Drosophila melanogaster: one gene and its partners. The protein of the gene in region 4 interacts with the protein of the main gene of each other region in a pairwise test. Each region holds a gene or a part of one and is shown on either strand. Other genes may lie near its edges. The genes, in order: Sec22, CG14401, Atpalpha and Inx7.

Evidence for each region.
Region 1: the proteins of Inx7 (region 4) and Sec22 interact in a two-hybrid assay, tested with the Drosophila melanogaster proteins (one large-scale study listed by BioGRID).
Region 2: the proteins of Inx7 (region 4) and CG14401 interact in a two-hybrid assay, tested with the Drosophila melanogaster proteins (one large-scale study listed by BioGRID).
Region 3: the proteins of Inx7 (region 4) and Atpalpha interact in a two-hybrid assay, tested with the Drosophila melanogaster proteins (one large-scale study listed by BioGRID).

Annotation. Positions count from the first base shown.
Region 1 is NC_004354.4:804,199-808,714, forward strand, and holds Sec22 (secretory 22), read left to right. Parts: upstream 1-1,877; 5' UTR 1,878-2,286; coding exon 2,287-2,367; intron 2,368-2,434; coding exon 2,435-2,544; intron 2,545-2,770; coding exon 2,771-3,072; intron 3,073-3,155; coding exon 3,156-3,304; 3' UTR 3,305-4,002; downstream 4,003-4,516. Other genes in the region: CG13358 (uncharacterized protein), read right to left, coding at 1-699.
Region 2 is NT_033779.5:20,868,027-20,872,018, forward strand, and holds CG14401 (uncharacterized protein), read left to right. Parts: upstream 1-1,827; 5' UTR 1,828-2,107; coding exon 2,108-2,321; intron 2,322-2,575; coding exon 2,576-2,734; coding exon of another isoform or gene 2,735-2,746; intron 2,747-2,805; coding exon 2,806-3,029; 3' UTR 3,030-3,446; downstream 3,447-3,992. Other genes in the region: CG31675 (uncharacterized protein), read left to right, coding at 120-171, 325-498, 1,091-1,311.
Region 3 is NT_033777.3:20,946,875-20,951,791, reverse strand, and holds the start of Atpalpha (Na pump alpha subunit), read right to left. Parts: upstream 3,013-4,917; 5' UTR 2,987-3,012; coding exon 2,963-2,986; intron 1-2,962. UniProt on the Drosophila melanogaster protein: This is the catalytic component of the active enzyme, which catalyzes the hydrolysis of ATP coupled with the exchange of sodium and potassium ions across the plasma membrane.
Region 4 is NC_004354.4:6,991,087-6,995,482, reverse strand, and holds Inx7 (innexin 7), read left to right. Parts: upstream 1-1,870; 5' UTR 1,871-2,069; coding exon 2,070-2,303; intron 2,304-2,600; coding exon 2,601-3,310; intron 3,311-3,380; coding exon 3,381-3,753; 3' UTR 3,754-3,871; downstream 3,872-4,396. UniProt on the Drosophila melanogaster protein: Structural components of the gap junctions.

The DNA of each region.
Region 1 (4,516 bases), 6.2 Mb from region 4:
CAGGGTGTTCCTCACCACAAATTGCTGCCTGGGCTGTGAATTGGATTGCGGTCTCGTTCGAGCTCCTGGCATGGGCAAAAAGCGAAAGAGCCGGGTAGAGACGCCGTCATCATCTGTCACGTCATCGGTGGACAAATCATCTCCTCCAGCCCCTCCGACTCCGTTGGCAGACGGAACAGCACTATCAGCTTGTCCACCGGCAAGCGGAGTAAACACGGCAGCCAGACGCACAGGCACAAAGGCTGGGAGCCGCACTGTAATGGGAGTGCCGGAGGGCGGAACAGCCGGTGACGGGATTGCAACGGAGACTGGTATGGGTGTGGGTCGTGGCGGAGGAGGTGGTGGTGGTGGCAGTGGAGGCGGAGGAGGTCTACGTGTGCTGGCATCCGCTGGCGACGCAGTCGTTGTTGTGGCCGATTCCTCCTCGACCTCCTTCCAGGCCTCCAGCAGGGTCAGCAGCTCATCCTTGCTCATGTGGCCGAGACCAACGGGGCTGTAGGGCCACTCGCCCACTCCGAGTCCACTACCAACACTATTCCAGCCTAAAGAGGGCACTTGTTCCACTTGCTCTACGTGACCCAGCGGAGTCTCGAACAGGCTCCTTTGGGGACGTGTGAGGAGCAGCTGCTGACCAGCCAGCCCATTGCACAGGATCTGCATGAGGAGACCCAGGAGCGTCGCACGAACTGACCCGGCCATGACTGACTTTGTATTGTGGAGCCTCTAGGTGGAGCAGTGGCTTATATATACATACCTGCTTTCAACGGAACGAGGAAGGAGGCCAAGCCGAGCAAAACGGAAGCGCACGCATTCCGCTGCGGGTGATCCGATCACACGATGAGAAAATAGGTTGACCGCAGTCCTCGATGGGCTCAGAGTTAATTGAAATGCATTCGATTTAAGATCACAGTACAAGCATTTTAAATAATGTCATAAGCTTTCCCGCTTTGATCACAAACTTGTGTATATCTTAGCATTCTTCGGTATGAGCAGAAATGGGAATGGTTATTCGCATTCGCTTGCAGGGCTTCAATTCATAATATACATAGATGAATAAGTCGCATTCGATATGAATTATTTTCCCAGTGCAAAGATTTTTCCGGTGGTCGCTTGAAACGCACATTCGCACGCAGCTCCATCGCCAAGTACCACAGGTAGTCCATATAGTTGGGTCCCTGCCTCAAGTCCAAGTCCGGTTTCGCGGGCGAACCACTTTTCCTTCTGGGGATGGATGTGGATGTCCATGCAGAGGATGGTCTTCGCGGGCGAACCGGTTGGGCTTGGTCATCGACTTTTGGGGGGTCCAACCCACTTCCGGCATCTGCGCCAGCGGATTTGAGTCTGCGAAAGCGGCGCGACGTGCCAGGGATTTCGATTTATGTTGGTTAATAATTTAAATAAATATTTATTTATATTTAAATATTTGAAATAATATATTCGCAACTCGATTGCCAATATAAAAAATAAAAATACCAAAGACCAATTGGTCGGATTGGGACTCAAAACAGCTATAGAACAATGCATCTGGGCGCCAGGTTCATGGGTGAATCGAAGTATTGTACTTCTATTGAACTTCTGGGGATCCTTAATCCGCATCCTGTGTACAACACACGCATACAAAAAGCAAACTCCACATTACAGCAGAGCGCAAGCTGTCAAAGCTGTAGACCTGGGAAAATAGCTTTGCGGGAAAGCCCGGAAACTCGAAAGCGCCATTTTCAGGGGCATGCTGGCTTGAAAACGAGTTGAAAGCGTATTTCCATATCGTGCATTTAAAGAAACGAAGAAACGAATGGTATAATGGACTTCCGTTAATGTGACCGTTGGCGGTCGGTACTCTGAGATACTCTGCGGTATTCGGTATGCCTCGCACCATTCGGTATATTTACACGGACATACCGGTGACGTGGTTACATTGCAACAAACATCCACAGAAACCTCCAATCCACTCCAATCCCAGACACCCGCCCGCCGCGACGTTGCAACACAGTTTTCATGGTAGCAGCGAACGTTCCCGATTCGAGGCAGAGTCCATTTGGAAGTCCCGGGCATCGCAGGAGCACTGCGGCAAGCACCGACCGATCGGCTGAGTTGTGAAATCCAAGAAGTGGAAGAGGACGACCGGACACAAACTTCACACACTGGTGACTGGACTGCAGCGGATCCACATCGGAATAAGTAGCAGCCAGTGGAAGGAGGCGACGGCAGAGTGCAGCCGTGGCCAAGAAGACTTGAGACGCAGCCCCGTAGTTCCGCGAGCAATCGTAACCAGGAACAGCAGAAGCCATGGCGCTGCTGACCATGATAGCCAGGGTCATCGATGGCCTTCCTCTGGTGGGGACCATGCAGGATGACGAGCAGGTACCCGTGTGCATCACTTTCTAATACGTTGCATTCCGTTCCGCTCCCGCAACTAAGTCGCTTTCACTTTCAGAGCGGACGCAGCATACTGGACTACCAAAACCAGGCTAAGATGCTCTTCCGCAAGCTGGGTACCCACTCCCCGGCTCGATGCAGTATCGAGACCGGACCCTACCTATTCCAGTGAGTAGCCCCAATTCGTGGCACCTTTGCCAGGGCATAGACCATTAAAATCACACCATGTACAAAGGTTTCTCGGCTCCGCGGGTAGTCAGTGACAGTTGATTTAGTTTCGGAACAAAGAGTATAGATGTAATTTGATACGAAGTTAAATTAAACGCTCACTGCTTGCGAAAGCCAGAAGATGCAATGGGCGCCCCAATTAAAATATTCCACATTTTCCCTGCAGCTACCTAATCGAGAACGACGTCTGCTACCTGGTGATGGTGGACAAGATGTACTCAAAGCGACTGGCCTTCAATTACCTGGAGGACCTGGCCCAGGAGTTCCATGCTAACTACGGCCGGCGAGTAAACTCAGTGACTCGCCCATACGCATTCATCGAGTTTGACGTGTACATACAGAAGGCGAAAAAACAGTTGACGGACCGCAGACGCAACATCAGCAACATCAACACACAGCTGCAGGATGTGCAGCGCATCATGGTGCAAAACATTGACGACGTGCTCCAACGTGGCACAGTGCTGGCGGGTAACTACTACTACTACTATCTACGCGACTATCTACGCGTGATTGTGGGATTCAACTGACGTTCACCCCGTTTTTCCTTCCAGAACTCGACACCAAGACCCAGAACCTATCGATGATGTCACAGAAGTACAAGAAGGACGCCAAGCTGCTCAACCGAAAGTCCATGTACGTGAAGGCGATGGCCTTGGGCATGATACTTCTAGTGTTCATCATGTATTTCTGGGTTCTGTAATATCAAGCAGTTCCATGGCCACTCGGAGCGGCGCGTTCTTTGTTGGAGTCAAGCGTCAAGGACGCAAGACCAAAAGACATTTAGATTACGCGTGCACCTGTACTCCACGCCACCAACCACACCATATTCATTCATATCTATGAATCATAGGCAAGCGAAAAGTGAATAGCGAAACCCCCTACCAGCATACGCATCGCTCCCGAGGATTGTTTTACTTCTAATATTAACTTACCTTTGCGTTATTTACGGTCTGGGATTCCATTAATTATTAACTCCCATTTCATTTCGCCTCGCGCTTCCGTTGCGCAGGTTTTCTAAATATTTGATTACGAATCGGGTTTAGTTTAGACGACCTTTGAGCCAAGTCGGTTGACTACGACCCAAATCTGTAAATTATGAGCGTCGATCCGTGTGTGTGTGTATAAATGTCTAGATTGTAGATGGATCGCTGCATAGCGAATCCGAATCCGGCGGAGTGCTTGATACAAGCTGCAAAAACACCGCAAAAAACAAAAGAAAAAGAAAAGATAACAAGCGAACCGAAAGAAAAGAAAAGAAGAGAAAGGGAAATAAACAATAACAGTTTTAGGCAATTTATATGTGTAAAATTAAGGCAAATAAATAAATTTATATTGTTTAATAAAGAGAAGGCAAAACTGTGTTCGATGCACTACCCAAGCCCGAAAGATAGAAACTGCATCTGATTTTTGGTTTAGTTTTAATCGATAATTTCCCTTTATATATTTTTCGATTCACTGAGTGTGATGTGATACATTCGCCTTTATAGTTTATATCCACTTGCAAGCCTTCGAATTACGATTCTTCTCAATGAATTTCTCGATCTGATCCGATCCCGATCCCATTCGGTCTCATATCGTCCCGCTAAATGTCCGTTTTCGTTGCGTCTCAGCGCATATAAATTTGTAATATCAAATCTTTACAATTAGGAAAAAAATGCGCTGTTGCCATATACACTGCTATATCGTAATTTGGTGTGTATAGTTTTGTGAAATATCGAATCCGAATACATATATACGCTCTCTACATAACTACATATGAATGCATATGCTTTGTGGGGGGGGATGTGTGAAATGGTCTGCAATAATTAATTAACTGGGGAGAAGAGCAATCATCTACCGAATTTTGCAACCTCCTCTGGCTTCCGTGTACTAGGCTGTGGTTCTGCTGAAGCTCTGGTGGTGAGTGGGATCG
Region 2 (3,992 bases), on a different chromosome or scaffold from region 4:
GCGCCGAGCAGAGCTATAAATAAGCCCGCCACTTGAATTATTTTCCATAAAACCATCAAATACAACAAATTCCAATCACCAGCGAGAAAGGTGGCAAACCGATTTTCCTCCCATCAACAATGCAGCATTATTTACTTTTGTTTGGCGCGCTCATCTCGCTACTGGCCTCAGGTTTGTTTTTGTTCTGTTTGGACTTGTTTCTTTCGAATTTGTACTTTGCTTTGCGAGTTCTGCGTTTGCCGCGACCTGTCGGCTGTCCCCGCCTGATCTCATTTCTGCCATAAATAAGACGCGTCTCTGGTCTTCCCATCCCAATGCCACTAGCTTACGCCATCAAGTGCTATGCCTGCGAATCCGTCTACGAGGCTAGTTGCGGCGACGACTTCGAAGTCGAGAACCATTTTAAATACGACTGCGCCTTCATTGCTCCTCCGCGATTCCTGGAGAACGATCTGCTCAGCGTGAATGCCACGGCCTGTTTGAAACGGGTATTCAAGGGTGAGTTTAAACGAATATGTTTCTCAAAACACGTTCCTACGGATTTGAAGCCTTGCTAGGATAGTAACTTTAATAGTTATGAATCAATAGGTATAGTAAAAAGAAAAGAAAGTTTGAAATATAAGATTAAAAAGTGGATATATCGTAATTCACCAAAAATGTATCTATCCACCAGATATTTTTTTAAAGTAATTGTTCATTAATTACAAATACAGTCCGATTAGCAGCGGACAAAAAAAGTGTGTTCCGAAAGGTAAATGTCTGTATACTCATTAAACATTCGCAATGTTGTCCGTCCGAGATTTGTATTTACTCTTCAGATAATAATTTCTTTAATGATTTGTGACGCAAATCAAAACAAATAAAATTAATTATGTGAAACAGTCATACATACATTCATAGACATACGTGCATATACGGACAGCTGTGACCTTATTTCAGAAGAATCTCGTAGACTTTCCAACAATCTCTTGATATTTTGGACAATACGTACACATTTCGTATAAGCCCATTAAAGACGGACAATAAAAAATGTGTTTATTTACGATAAGTCAGCCCGAAAGTAGACTAACCCAATGTTTTGCCTCTGCAGAAAACGGCGTGCGTAAGATCGTCAGAGGCTGCTACTTCGGCGAGGTAAATGCCACCGATGTGTGGTGCAAAATGGACCCCACCCTGTCGGCGGTGCAGAACTCAAGTTGTCATGTGTGCGACAGCGAGAACTACTGCAACGGATCGGAAAATCATCCAGTGGATAAATGGAAAATCTTCGGCAGTCTGGTCTTGTTTCTCTTGGCAACTCAACTACTCTGAGGCGACAGGAGACGAAGTGGAAATGTGGAAATGTGGAGCGTGAAATGAACATTAAAAGGCACAGTAGCTTAAGTAAACCTAGTTCAATTTAGATGTATTCCCAAGGCCCAGGACTATCAATTAGTAAAGCCCACATTAGTAGAGCACACCATCCACAAAACCGTTTAGCCAAATCTGCCCGGCCCACTGTATTAATGGCTAATCAACGCCGAACATGGCGTATGAGCAACATCAGCACACCGAAATGAGCCGAAAAGCTGGCAAACAAATTTCGAACGATCCAAATACAAACTAATAAAAACTAATTTTACACAGAATGCCAAATTGTTTATTTGTTCAAATGCCACTAATGAACCTTGCCTGAAATAAATGGATTGGCGAGGAAAGGGCAAAGGGAATGGCAGGGCAGGGTAGGGCAAGGCAGAGCACGATGTCAACACGCATTGGCCAGGGAAAAGCCAACGATGGAGAAGTGAAAATGTGAAAAAATCTGTTATGAAAATCAAATTCACATTCTGAATGCGATTGTTCGCACGTTCAGTTCAGTTTCTGTTTAGTTCAGTCGCGTGTGTGCATCGCTTCGAGTCGGTGGTCGGTGGTCGGTGGTCGGTGGTCGTTGGTCGGCGGCTTGTGGCTATATAGCGCATCTATCATGTGATTAAAATCGGTCCGGCAACCGAGAAGACAACATCTGTATTCGCGCACGTATCGGCATCGCCAAGCTATAGCTATAGCCATACTGACTCACCGCGACCGCCGGACGACAGTGGAATCAACTGTTTTCGGGGGCGGTACGATGGCGATGATGGCAGCGCTTGCCTCGCTCTTTCTGCTCGTCACGCTGGCCAGCTCAGGTGAGATTCTCGATTCGCGCCCGCCACTCATCACATTCCTGCCCCGAAATTGTAGTTCATATTTTGAAATATCTCAGAAGCAGAAGACTGTCAACACGATTTATTGCGAATCAGTGAATTTAGGGTTTTACCGACTGTTTTGCGGGAAACTGTTCAGTAAAGAAAAACATATAAACAGCTTTCTTTGTTTATTTCATTGTTTACGTATAGAGTCTAAAAAGTTCAAGAATTATATTACAAATTTTAATTAACTTACATCTGAAAAGAAATTAACGTTTTGGAACATTAAGAATGGTTTTAAAGCTAATTGTTTACTTTAAGATAAAGATAAGGTCTACCAAAATGCTCATCCATTGTTTTCCTTTCTGTGCACTCTCGTGGACACACATTTTTACGGATGTCGTCATCAGCCCGTGCCATTACCTGCTACGAATGTGATTCCGTCAATAATCCAGGGTGTGGGGAGCGATTTGTGGGCGATGACATATCCACGACGGATTGCGATGTGGTGGCGAACATGCGATCCCTGGGAGCGGAGGCCACTTGCCTTACCAAGTACCATGAGGGAAGTGAGTATACGAGTATGGTTTCTGGAAAATATGTCAAGGAAATCCCTTATAAAATGACTCACTTTTCGCAGTGCCAGGAGACACGCGCTTCGTGAGGCGCTCCTGTTACTTTGGCGATGCCTCCCCAATAGGCGTCAGTTGCGACGATGGACCAGATCCTGTGGTGCCCTTTATGAACTTCCTCGGCTGCACACTGTGCGATACGGATTTGTGCAACGCAGCCGCTGGATTATCCACACTACCCTTGGTCATTGCCCTTTCGATACTCGGACTGCTTGTCCTACTGGCGACCTAAGGAAGATGAGTCGCGTGGAACGGCGGCGGTCGTATTTCAATGTTTCCTATTAAAAGTAATATACTCCAGTATTGTATAAAAGATTGTTGTTTTCTTGGTCGACTAACTAACATGACTTCTTATACTCATGCAAAGGGCGCAGAACAAGAACGACCCAAAGTTTATCCTTATATTCTTAATTTTCTAAGGCAAATGGCTTAAGTTATAAAAAGCCTACTGAATATGTAATAAATTTAACTTAAAGCCCCTAGAAGAATGAAATAGAAGCAAATATTTTTTAATTTTTATTTTATTTGATTTTCTTTCCATTGTTTTTATACATCCACTAAAATGATTTAACATACATATATATTTATATAATTATACTTGTTTGATTTAATATAATTTATTGAATAAAATTTACTCGTTTCCTACTCTACTAGCGTGTGTATGTAAGTATGTGTATGTGTGTATTGCAATTAGGATCATTAATTACAAAATATTCATAAAATAAATTAAAATAACACTTTCAAATCGATACACACAATTTCTGTTTCAATATCTAGTCCATTGATTTCTTGATCGTCAAACAATTCTAGTTTTACATTTATTTCCAGTTTATAGCATAAATTATTTTATGTAGGCAAACAGATAACATCTTTGCTTATTATCTTAATGGGTTTAGCTGCGGATTATATTCATAACACTTCTGGGCTACACATAAATAACATTCAAATATAAATATATGGATATTTATCAAGATATTGTATATAAACTACACATTGAGAACAATTCAGATAGAAAACAATTTATGTACAAAAGATTGTGTTTGTTTTTGCTTCACCAATACTGTCCATGCTGGCGTTGTCCGGCGGAATCTCTACGATCCCAGCGAGGACCACTGCCGCGTCAATGCCACAAACAATCGTCGTCCATCTTTCCGCGTCTTAAAGTCTATCAACAATTCATATCATCAGCGTGTAA
Region 3 (4,917 bases), on a different chromosome or scaffold from region 4:
GCTCCGGCTCAGCTACTTCAGGTAGCTGGACAATAAACTACCCCTTCGGAACTAAGCCACCCCTGAAGGGTAATGATCGATGGACCTTGAGAGACCTACAAGCTGGAGACCAACTCGAAAACAAACGAAAACGAAAATAAATCAACGTACCGCTCTAGAACTTAATCTACAAGTGTTGGTCGAGCGAGTGTTATCTGATAAGCAGACGAAAGGTAAATATAGCGCAAAGGCACAGATACAGATACCGATACCTGGGAAACTGGAGGCCCAGACCCCTAATAGCGGGTTATGCAATCGTTAGTAATTAAGACCCTACCCATTGACGCAAACTGGGCATGTGCCAAATATCACACCGCAGCGAAACAAATCGAAGTCCTTGTCGAATGCAATCTGTGTGCTGGATGTGACAGCAAACAGTCAATGGGCGAGGTGATAATTTCCACATCTTGCGATTATGGCCGCCAATTGATGATGCCCACATAGCGTAGATGGCTTTTTCCAACAAGATCTATTCAAACGGTTTGCCATTGTCAGTTGATTAGATTTTTATTGGCGCGTAATTGAATTAAAACGGCCAATATTGTTTTGCTGCCACGCTTTGATTGCCGAAAGCAAGTCACCACCTCTGTCGGACGGTTTTCTGGTATTTTCCAGTTGTAATTATTATCACTGTCGCTTTTACTGCCATCGGCAATCTGTTAAGTAGTTAACGCGAACCTAAAATCTCCGAGCCGGGTAAAACTGGTCAAAAAGGGAAGGGGCCCGTCTATTCGGGTGCACAAAATATCTGGTTAATATATAGTATAGGTGTGTGTACTACATGTCAACGCTGATAACTGCTGATAGTATTCAAATCCTGGGTGTTAGCATTTAGAACCTGCCATTACCACGTTGGAAGCACATTATTCAGCTTATTTGCCGTCCTCTCCATAAACTCTTAATTGCTTTATCTGCATTTTTCGACTGATAAACGGGTAGATGCATACATACATACATATACCAACTAGTTCTCGTTTTGGCTGGCCCTTAATTCCAAATCATTTACTTATGGAACGCACATTGAGAGGAAGGGAACTTCATTATCGCGTTCTTAGAGCATCGTCAGATTGTAGTTTCATGATTTTTGATGTGCTTTCTTAAATTGACTTCAATTGAAAGCGCATGAGTCAGCATACAAAACGAAGCCACAACGCTGGTGGGGGGATGTGAGATATACTCGTACATAACTCAGCTTTACGCGGATTTGTGCGTGAAATCATAATAGAATTTCCACTGAGCACACTGGGTTAAGATATAAGATGTCGTAGTCCGGCAGATTGAATTATAATAATTATGCAACGTTGTATTCTACACCAACAATATTATCATCAGAATTTGCCCTTGAAAATCCGTTGGGAAATGCGTCATATTTTATAAAATTAATTGTATGAAACCCAACCCAATAAACCCAACCACAAATGTTTTTAAACTTAAAATAATTTGCGTAACTTATTTTGATTCTTAAAATATGCATACCACTACAATACTAATAAAGACGTAATTTTGGAATTACATACTTAATTTTATAACAATACAAATATGCACAATATAATATATATTATAATAATTATATAATAATATCTAAATATATTCTACAAGACACTTTCAAGTCTAAGTGAGGTCTTAAGCGTTCTTTTCAAGTTTTCCCGTTACAAATAATATCTGGACCCACTGTTTGTTGCGAGTGGATTCAGACCGCTTGCTCTATAGTTTTGCATACTTTCGGGCCGTCGAACCAGTATGTGTGTGGGTGCGTGCGTGTGTGTGACCTGCCCTTAGACAAGCCCCAAAATCAATAGAGCTGGCAATACGGACTTAGAATTGGTGGTCTAGCCCTAGGAACAGAACCGAAAGCCCGGGTGGAAACAACAACCCTGGCGAAGAACTCATTACCTTCTGCGGGGTAATTAAGTGGCGTCATCGGTGGGGCATTTAGTAACTAATCGAATGGTGAGGGGGTAGGGAAGGGAAAGTAAGGGCTACGTACTGAGAAAAAAGTACGGTAAGAAGTACGTCGATTTACGCTAATGTGCCAGTGTGTGTAATTAGCAGCGCACTACTCGGCCCAATGACACCAATTCCGGAAGGAGGGAAAGCACGGAAAATGGAAAAATAAACGTGTTATGCAGGGTAGTTTCGTTCTAGAGCTCGAGATTCCAATAATGAAATCTGCGAGATGCGGCGGAATGGGGCGTGGTTCGGGAGGGGCGGCAGCAGTACCGGTTATGTAAGCCGAAAACTGGAAGATTTCCAAGCACGGAAAAGCGAAAAGCTTTCGCGCCGGGAAAGTGGAAAATTTGGGAAACTGGTCGGCCTGGAAATGCAAATTGCGCATGCCAGCTAAGCGCACCTGGAAAGCGAGAGAGAGAGAGACAGAGAGGCAGAGAGAGAGAGAGAGAGCAAGAGAAAGGGAGAGCGAATACAAATTCGAGAAAAAAGTCAAAAGCCAGGCTCTAAGCCCAGGCTATTTTTACAGATCAGCAGGTAAGCGGATATAGGCCCATCCAGATCCAATAGGATTAGTAACTGCGCCCCGTTTCACATTCGATTCCGTTTGCAGTTACCGAAAGCCCGCAAACAAATTAGTAAACTTCGTTGGGCGTCGCCTCGGCTTTGTTGTTGTTGTCGTTGCTTCTCGCTTTTTCACCAGCAACAAAACAAATAGTAGTAGCAGCAGCAGCAGCAAGAACAACACCAAAAGCAATGTACACAACACAGATACACGCACACACCCACACAGCGCACTCGGGCTTCGATTTTTCCCACTAAAAACAACGCCCGCTCAGCGTATCACTTGGCCAATTTGTTTTGGCCCTGGTTCTTTTTGGTTCCCTCGTCATGGTCTAACAACAGTTTAAACTTAACCATTTTCTCACTTAACTAACTTAGTTTTCATCGTAATCCAGGCTTTATTTTTGCTCACCTCGTAATCCGACCTTAACGCCATGTTATTTTAATTTAACTCGATTATTCCCAGGGATGTGGAAAATTTACACAATTCCAACGTATCGATATTTTAGAAGTCGTGACTACCAAATGGAGAGTTATCGGCCTATTGTATCGAATAAGCCGGTGTAGAAATCGGGATGGCAATCGGTTAAGAAAATGTAATTGTAAATATTGCATTATGAATAAAATTACTATTATAATTTGTCAATAGTCCGAACAGTCTGGTTTATTTAAAATGAAAAGTTAAGTATTTTAAATATACCTGGATATTTATTTACCGAAAGTTGTTACTATGCTACCTTCAAATATTAATATCTGGATATGTTTGGATTTCAATACTCTCATTAATAATTGCTAATTTAAAATACCAAGTTAAAAATATGTTTAATTTTTCACCTCAATTTGGAAATAACATACTTTTATGTACTTTTTATATCAACTGCAAGCGTGAAAATTACTGGAGCTGCCAGATTAAAATATACACACTACGATAGTTGCCATCTTGAATATTTACAGATATGGAGAGTTGCCAACGTTATAGTTATGTGTATTCAATTTCAAGAGATAATAAAATACCAAATACAATACGCGCGTCTTCTTGCATTCCAAACATAGGTGGCGCTGTATAAGCAAAATAATTTTAAGTGGCAGATAGAACGAAGTGTAGATGGCGTTCGTTAAACGTATAAATTAGCTACTCTCCAAGAAATGTTCAACTGGACTTGAATCTTCTCAAATTTATTTCCTATGTTCAGTATTGATCGTTGATCATTGTTGCGATGAATGGCTTCAAACGGGCCAGAGATTCTCGAAGGCTCAGCAATTCGACGATCCTGTGGGGAAAAACGCATCTTGGAGATTATAAGTTCAGCTTACTTAAACTAATTAAATTATACTTAAATTTCAAGATACACCTGATACCCCTCGTCATCATTATCCAGCAACTTATCATTGGAAGCACCAACTGAAGGTTCGCCCGAAACCAACAGACCGCGTAATTGATTATAATTAAATTATGAATTTAATTGAGAACACTATTGATAAGTACGAGTCACGATGTGGAACTCAAGACGAAGATCTTCCAATTTGTCAGTGTAATGGAGCTATAAACATAACAATCCTCCAAACGACCAGGCATTTGGAAAACTTATCTCCGTCCGCACAAGATCTCATTTTATCATCCGAAATGCTGACCTCCACTTGGTCGAAGCTGAATTTATCGCAACTCTAAACCCCAAATATAATCAGGATAATTAGATGTCTCAAGTCATTTTGTTCTTGAAGGCTAGCATGTTCTATCTAAGTTAGCTTCCCAGCAAAATGGCATCTAAATTTCTACAGATTCATTCAATTGATCAATTCGGTGACCAATTACAAGGAAATGCCAAATTTGCACACTCTTACAAAGAGCACAGTTTGCACGGTTTCATTTGCCCTTACCTTCTCCGGAAGCTTCAATTGGTTTATCCGGTTAATTAATATTTTGAAATCAATTGTTGTCGACACGAGCACAAACAAGGAAGCAGCTCCAAAGGGGCTGCGGTTGCTTAGGCGAAACGACTTTTCGCTCAGCTGCAGAGCAACCCACTTTCCACTTTGCCCATCCTTTTGCCCGCCCTCTCATCCTGCGGCCCCGTCAATCGATTCAATATCCCATGGCCATTAGAAGGAAGCCGGCTCGACTACAAAATTGAGCCCACATAAGCTGAGGGGAAATCGCCTTGTTGCCACTGCCACTGTCTTCGGGTTTGGCTTTCGCTTTTGCTTTTGCTTTGGCATTGGCTTTGGCTCAAATAACCTGAAAGGCCCAATCAACAGGTGTCTTTGCCTCTGCTGCGTGCTGGTGCTTAGTGTTTCTGTGTGTCTGGGTGTTTGTGGTTCAACAACCGGGCCACCGGCGGCAAGGAGTCAGCTTCACGGCCGAGTCGG
Region 4 (4,396 bases):
CTGGTATTGCTTATGCCTGGTAATTGAATCTGTGGCCGAGGGTAATACGTGTGGAGCGCCTTGCTTGAATGGTTCGAATTTCGTTTTCATTGTGGTTTGCTTTATTTAAATTTCATTGCAAAATGGCCAAAGACAAAAGAACGTGCATGGCCTATCAGTTTATATCAAAATCTGGGCTATGCCAATAAAGCAATGCGATTGTTATTTGAACATGAATCAATGAACTTTCGTCAACTGGGAGGCGTAAGCAAAAGCAAAAGTAGTAGCCGTAATCATAGCAATTTCCTGGGAAACCCAAGTAGAGGTAAATTCGAGCAGTCAACCGGCTAAAAATGTTGCAATTACTAATATAGTTAACTGGTCTCTAGTTACGCACGACTTATAAATGTTATATGTACGTATGTAAAGGGGCCATTTTTGACTATCTTATCCGGCAAAGTTTTGGAGCGGCCACTTGAGCGCTTAAGTAATAAGCACCAAAATACAATGCCTAGGCGAGCTATTTAGATAAGCAACAGATATATGTAGATACTTATGAGCTGATAGTGCGAATCTCTGTTGGAATTCCGTTACATTCTAGAAAGTAAGTAAGCCAGTCACTCGTTGTCTTTTCTGGGGATTGACTGGAAGATAAGATTGTCGGGGCCAAAGAATGAAATACAATAGTGCGCAGGGTGAATATCCACCTGATTGCCTTGCGTGGAACCTTGCAACGATATCGCCAAAAAGGCAAACAGCCGAGCAATAATCCATCTTAAGAAGAAGAGTCTCAGTAAGTATGTACATAGCCCTCTGTCTAGCACTGATCTGGGTCAATACGATAACGCCAAGCCGATATATGTCCGCTTATCCAATTACTGTCCCATCCATCAGAATAGGCAGTATTGAATCAATATGGGTGGCGATAGCGGCACGCTTTAAGACCCGGAGAGTTCCAGATTACGGCGGAATTTGCAATTCCACACTTGAATGATTTCAATGCAAGTCTCTATGGTTATTCTTAAAACCAAGTGATCATTTCTTGCATCACTAAGGGATTTTTGCTATGTTTTTGGAAGTGTAACTAATTTGCTGATATCCTGAATCTCTTGAGTCATATATGTACATATATATTTTCCCGCACTGATTCATATTTCCTATGATTGTTTGCTTGGTTATCTTGGCCTCTTTGCTCTTGGATCTTGGATGAATTTCGATGGGTGGGAAGTTACTCACCCACCCACCAGGGCGAGATTTAGCCAACTTACCGATGAGGTAAACCCTGAGAAAATGAGTATTATTTTCATAATTTCTTTCGCTCTTTCTGTGACTTTCGTCTTATCATTTTCGGATTCTTATGAAGCCACGAGCCGAATACATGCCGAAGTACTCATGTTTGGGCGAAATTTGAAATATGACCGAAAAACTTCGGAGTTTTCTTGGGTATCAAGAGAGCCCTACACTGAAAGAATTAAATTGCTAACATTTTAGACTGAAACCTAAGTGACAAAGATTGTGCCCCTCTCTCAGCTTATACTGCGAGTCAGAAGCTGAAAAAAATTTCTTTTTTTTTTCTCATAGTCCAATAGTCTACGTAAGTCCTGCTAAGTGTAGCGCACTCCAGTAGGTTCTCATATTTCCCTTACTCTTTTCTTGGACAACTCTGAACTAAACACAATACCATTGCTGATTCGGCATTTCCGTGTATTTCTGCCCGACGAAGTTATCTTATCGGGCCCGGGCGACTCTCCTGGCCAAAAATGAGCGGTCGATAAGGCGCCAGAAAGCCCTCTCCGACGAATGTGGAATGGTGATGAAGATCGGCGAACGGGGACCGGAGACCGGAGACCGAAGGTTCCGAGACCCGGAGACCAAGTGCAGAGTCTCGAGCCTTGCAGTTACGAGGAGCTAGCCGCGGCAAGCGGAGCGCACAAATCCATCCGAACCCAGAAGCCAGCCCGTTTCCAATTGCCACCCAGCCATAGTTGTCGTAATCATCGTAAGAAAGTGAACGAAGTAGAAGTGGGATCGGATCGGATCGGATCGGGGCCAGAACCTAACCCAAAACCGAAGATAACGAAGGCGTTACAATGCTGAACACCTTCAGTTCGGTGAGGCAGTACCTCAAGTTCGATCTCACGCGTGTGGTCATCGACAATATAGTGTTCAAGCTGCACTATCGATGGACCTTCGTAATACTCCTAGTGGCCACCCTCCTGATCACGTCGCGCCAGTACATCGGGGAGCACATCCAGTGCCTATCCGACGGTGTTGTGTCTCCGGTCATCAACACCTTCTGCTTCTTCACGCCCACCTTCACAGTGGTAAGTCAGCGGGGTCACAAAGGGAAAATTATAAGAGGTCACCAGGGAATTAAAAAAAATATCTATGTACGGGGTACACAGAAGTATCTATTGAGAGCAACTGTTATCAATACTCTATTTGATTATTGGTTAAAACTTAAATAGGGTTAATCGATTTAGAGTCGTTTTATTGCTATTAGTTGGTTGATATATGTTGCCACATACCCATTCCTGAAATGATCAAATGATAGAATAGATTTTATTTATGTGCCTTGGCGGCAGTAGATCATTTATTAACATAGCTTGCACCCCAAATAGGTACGTGACCAGAACCAAACTGCCTACAGGCCGGGAAGTGAGCCACCTGGTATAGGGGCATTCGATCCCGAAAAGGACACGATCAAGCGGCATGCATACTACCAGTGGGTGCCCTTTGTCCTGTTCTTCCAGGCTCTCTGCTTCTACATTCCCCATGCCCTGTGGAAGAGTTGGGAGGGCGGCCGGATCAAGGCCCTGGTCTTTGGCCTTCGAATGGTGGGTCTAACGAGGTACCTGAAGAACGATAGTCTGCGTATCGGCAAGCTGAACATTCCCTCGATGGCGGAGGCGGAGGAGCGGGTCAAGGACATTCGTCGCACAATGATCGACCGGATGCGGCTGAATCAATCGTGGGGTGCCCACTTGGTCTTCGCGGAGGTGCTCAATCTGATTAATCTTCTGCTGCAGATCACATGGACCAACCGTTTTTTGGGCGGTCAATTCCTCACACTGGGACCACATGCCCTGAAAAATCGGTGGTCCGACGAGCTGAGCGTTTTGGATCTAGTATTCCCGAAGATTACCAAGTGCAAGTTCCACAAATTTGGTGACTCTGGCTCCATTCAAATGCACGATGCCCTTTGCGTGATGGCGCTGAACATCATGAACGAGAAGATCTACATTATTCTGTGGTTCTGGTACGCCTTCCTTTTGATTGTTACTGTTCTGGGACTGCTTTGGAGAATTTTAACCCTGTGCTTCTACAGAAAGTGAGTGGATGGATATAGGTGTGAAATATGTTTTCATAATGTGATAACCCTTCTAACCCACTTTAATTAGTGTCACATTTACCCGCTGGTCTCTCTATTGGGCCAAGCCTGGCCAACTGGACGAAAACGAATTATTGGCGGTAATTGATAAGTGTAACTTTTCCAACTGGATGTTCCTTTTCTTCCTGCGCTCCAACCTTTCGGAGTTCCTATTCAAGAAGGTTATCTATCATTTGGCTAGTGAGTTCCCCAATCCCGATCACGATAACGATGTCAATGCCTATCGAGAGGCACCGCCCACGCCCGCTAAGAACCGTTATCCGGAGCTCAGTGGTCTGGATACGATTGATTCACCACTCTTGCACCTTCGACGCAATGGCTCGCCCTCTGCCGGCGGAGCCCAAGGGCCATCGACTTCGGATATGGCAAAGTTACCTGTATAATTTATGCATTTCAATTAACGCTAGGCAATTAATTATTGGAGCTTTGTCTTGTTTACACCTGTTTTTTTTTTATATATATATATGATCATTTCATTATAAATATATTTATTATTAAGAGACTCGGCTTTCAGCTTTATCCAACAGGTTTTTTTCGGGGCTCACATAAAGCAAAATCTCTCAAAATGGCCGACAGAAAAACAGTTATTTTGTGTGAGGTATTTTGAAAAAAAAAGTGGGTAAAAAGCACAACAAAACCAAAACCGACCAGACACCTTTCGGAGGGGCGTGTGGGCGTGGCCGACAGTTTGTGTCGAGTGGCGACTGCGGTTGGGTGACCCAGTTCGAGTGATCCGTTGTGGTTTCGAAAGTGTTTGTTACTGAGCTGCAGTGTTCAGTTCAGAGCTGGGTCACAGTTTGTACCCTCCCATCTGACTGTGAAGTTTCAATAGATGTGCATGACGGTATCCCCGATTACGGACGGTTCTCCAGGTGAGTTATTGCTACTGTAAGTTTTATATATTTTCTATGGTTTTGGGAAGTTTAAGTGGTTTTCATCGAAAACATCCAGAGATAGGAGGAACTCAACTTCTGAAGTCAACGCTTCCAGCTGCATTAAGACATTTACACATGCCGCTCTGTCATA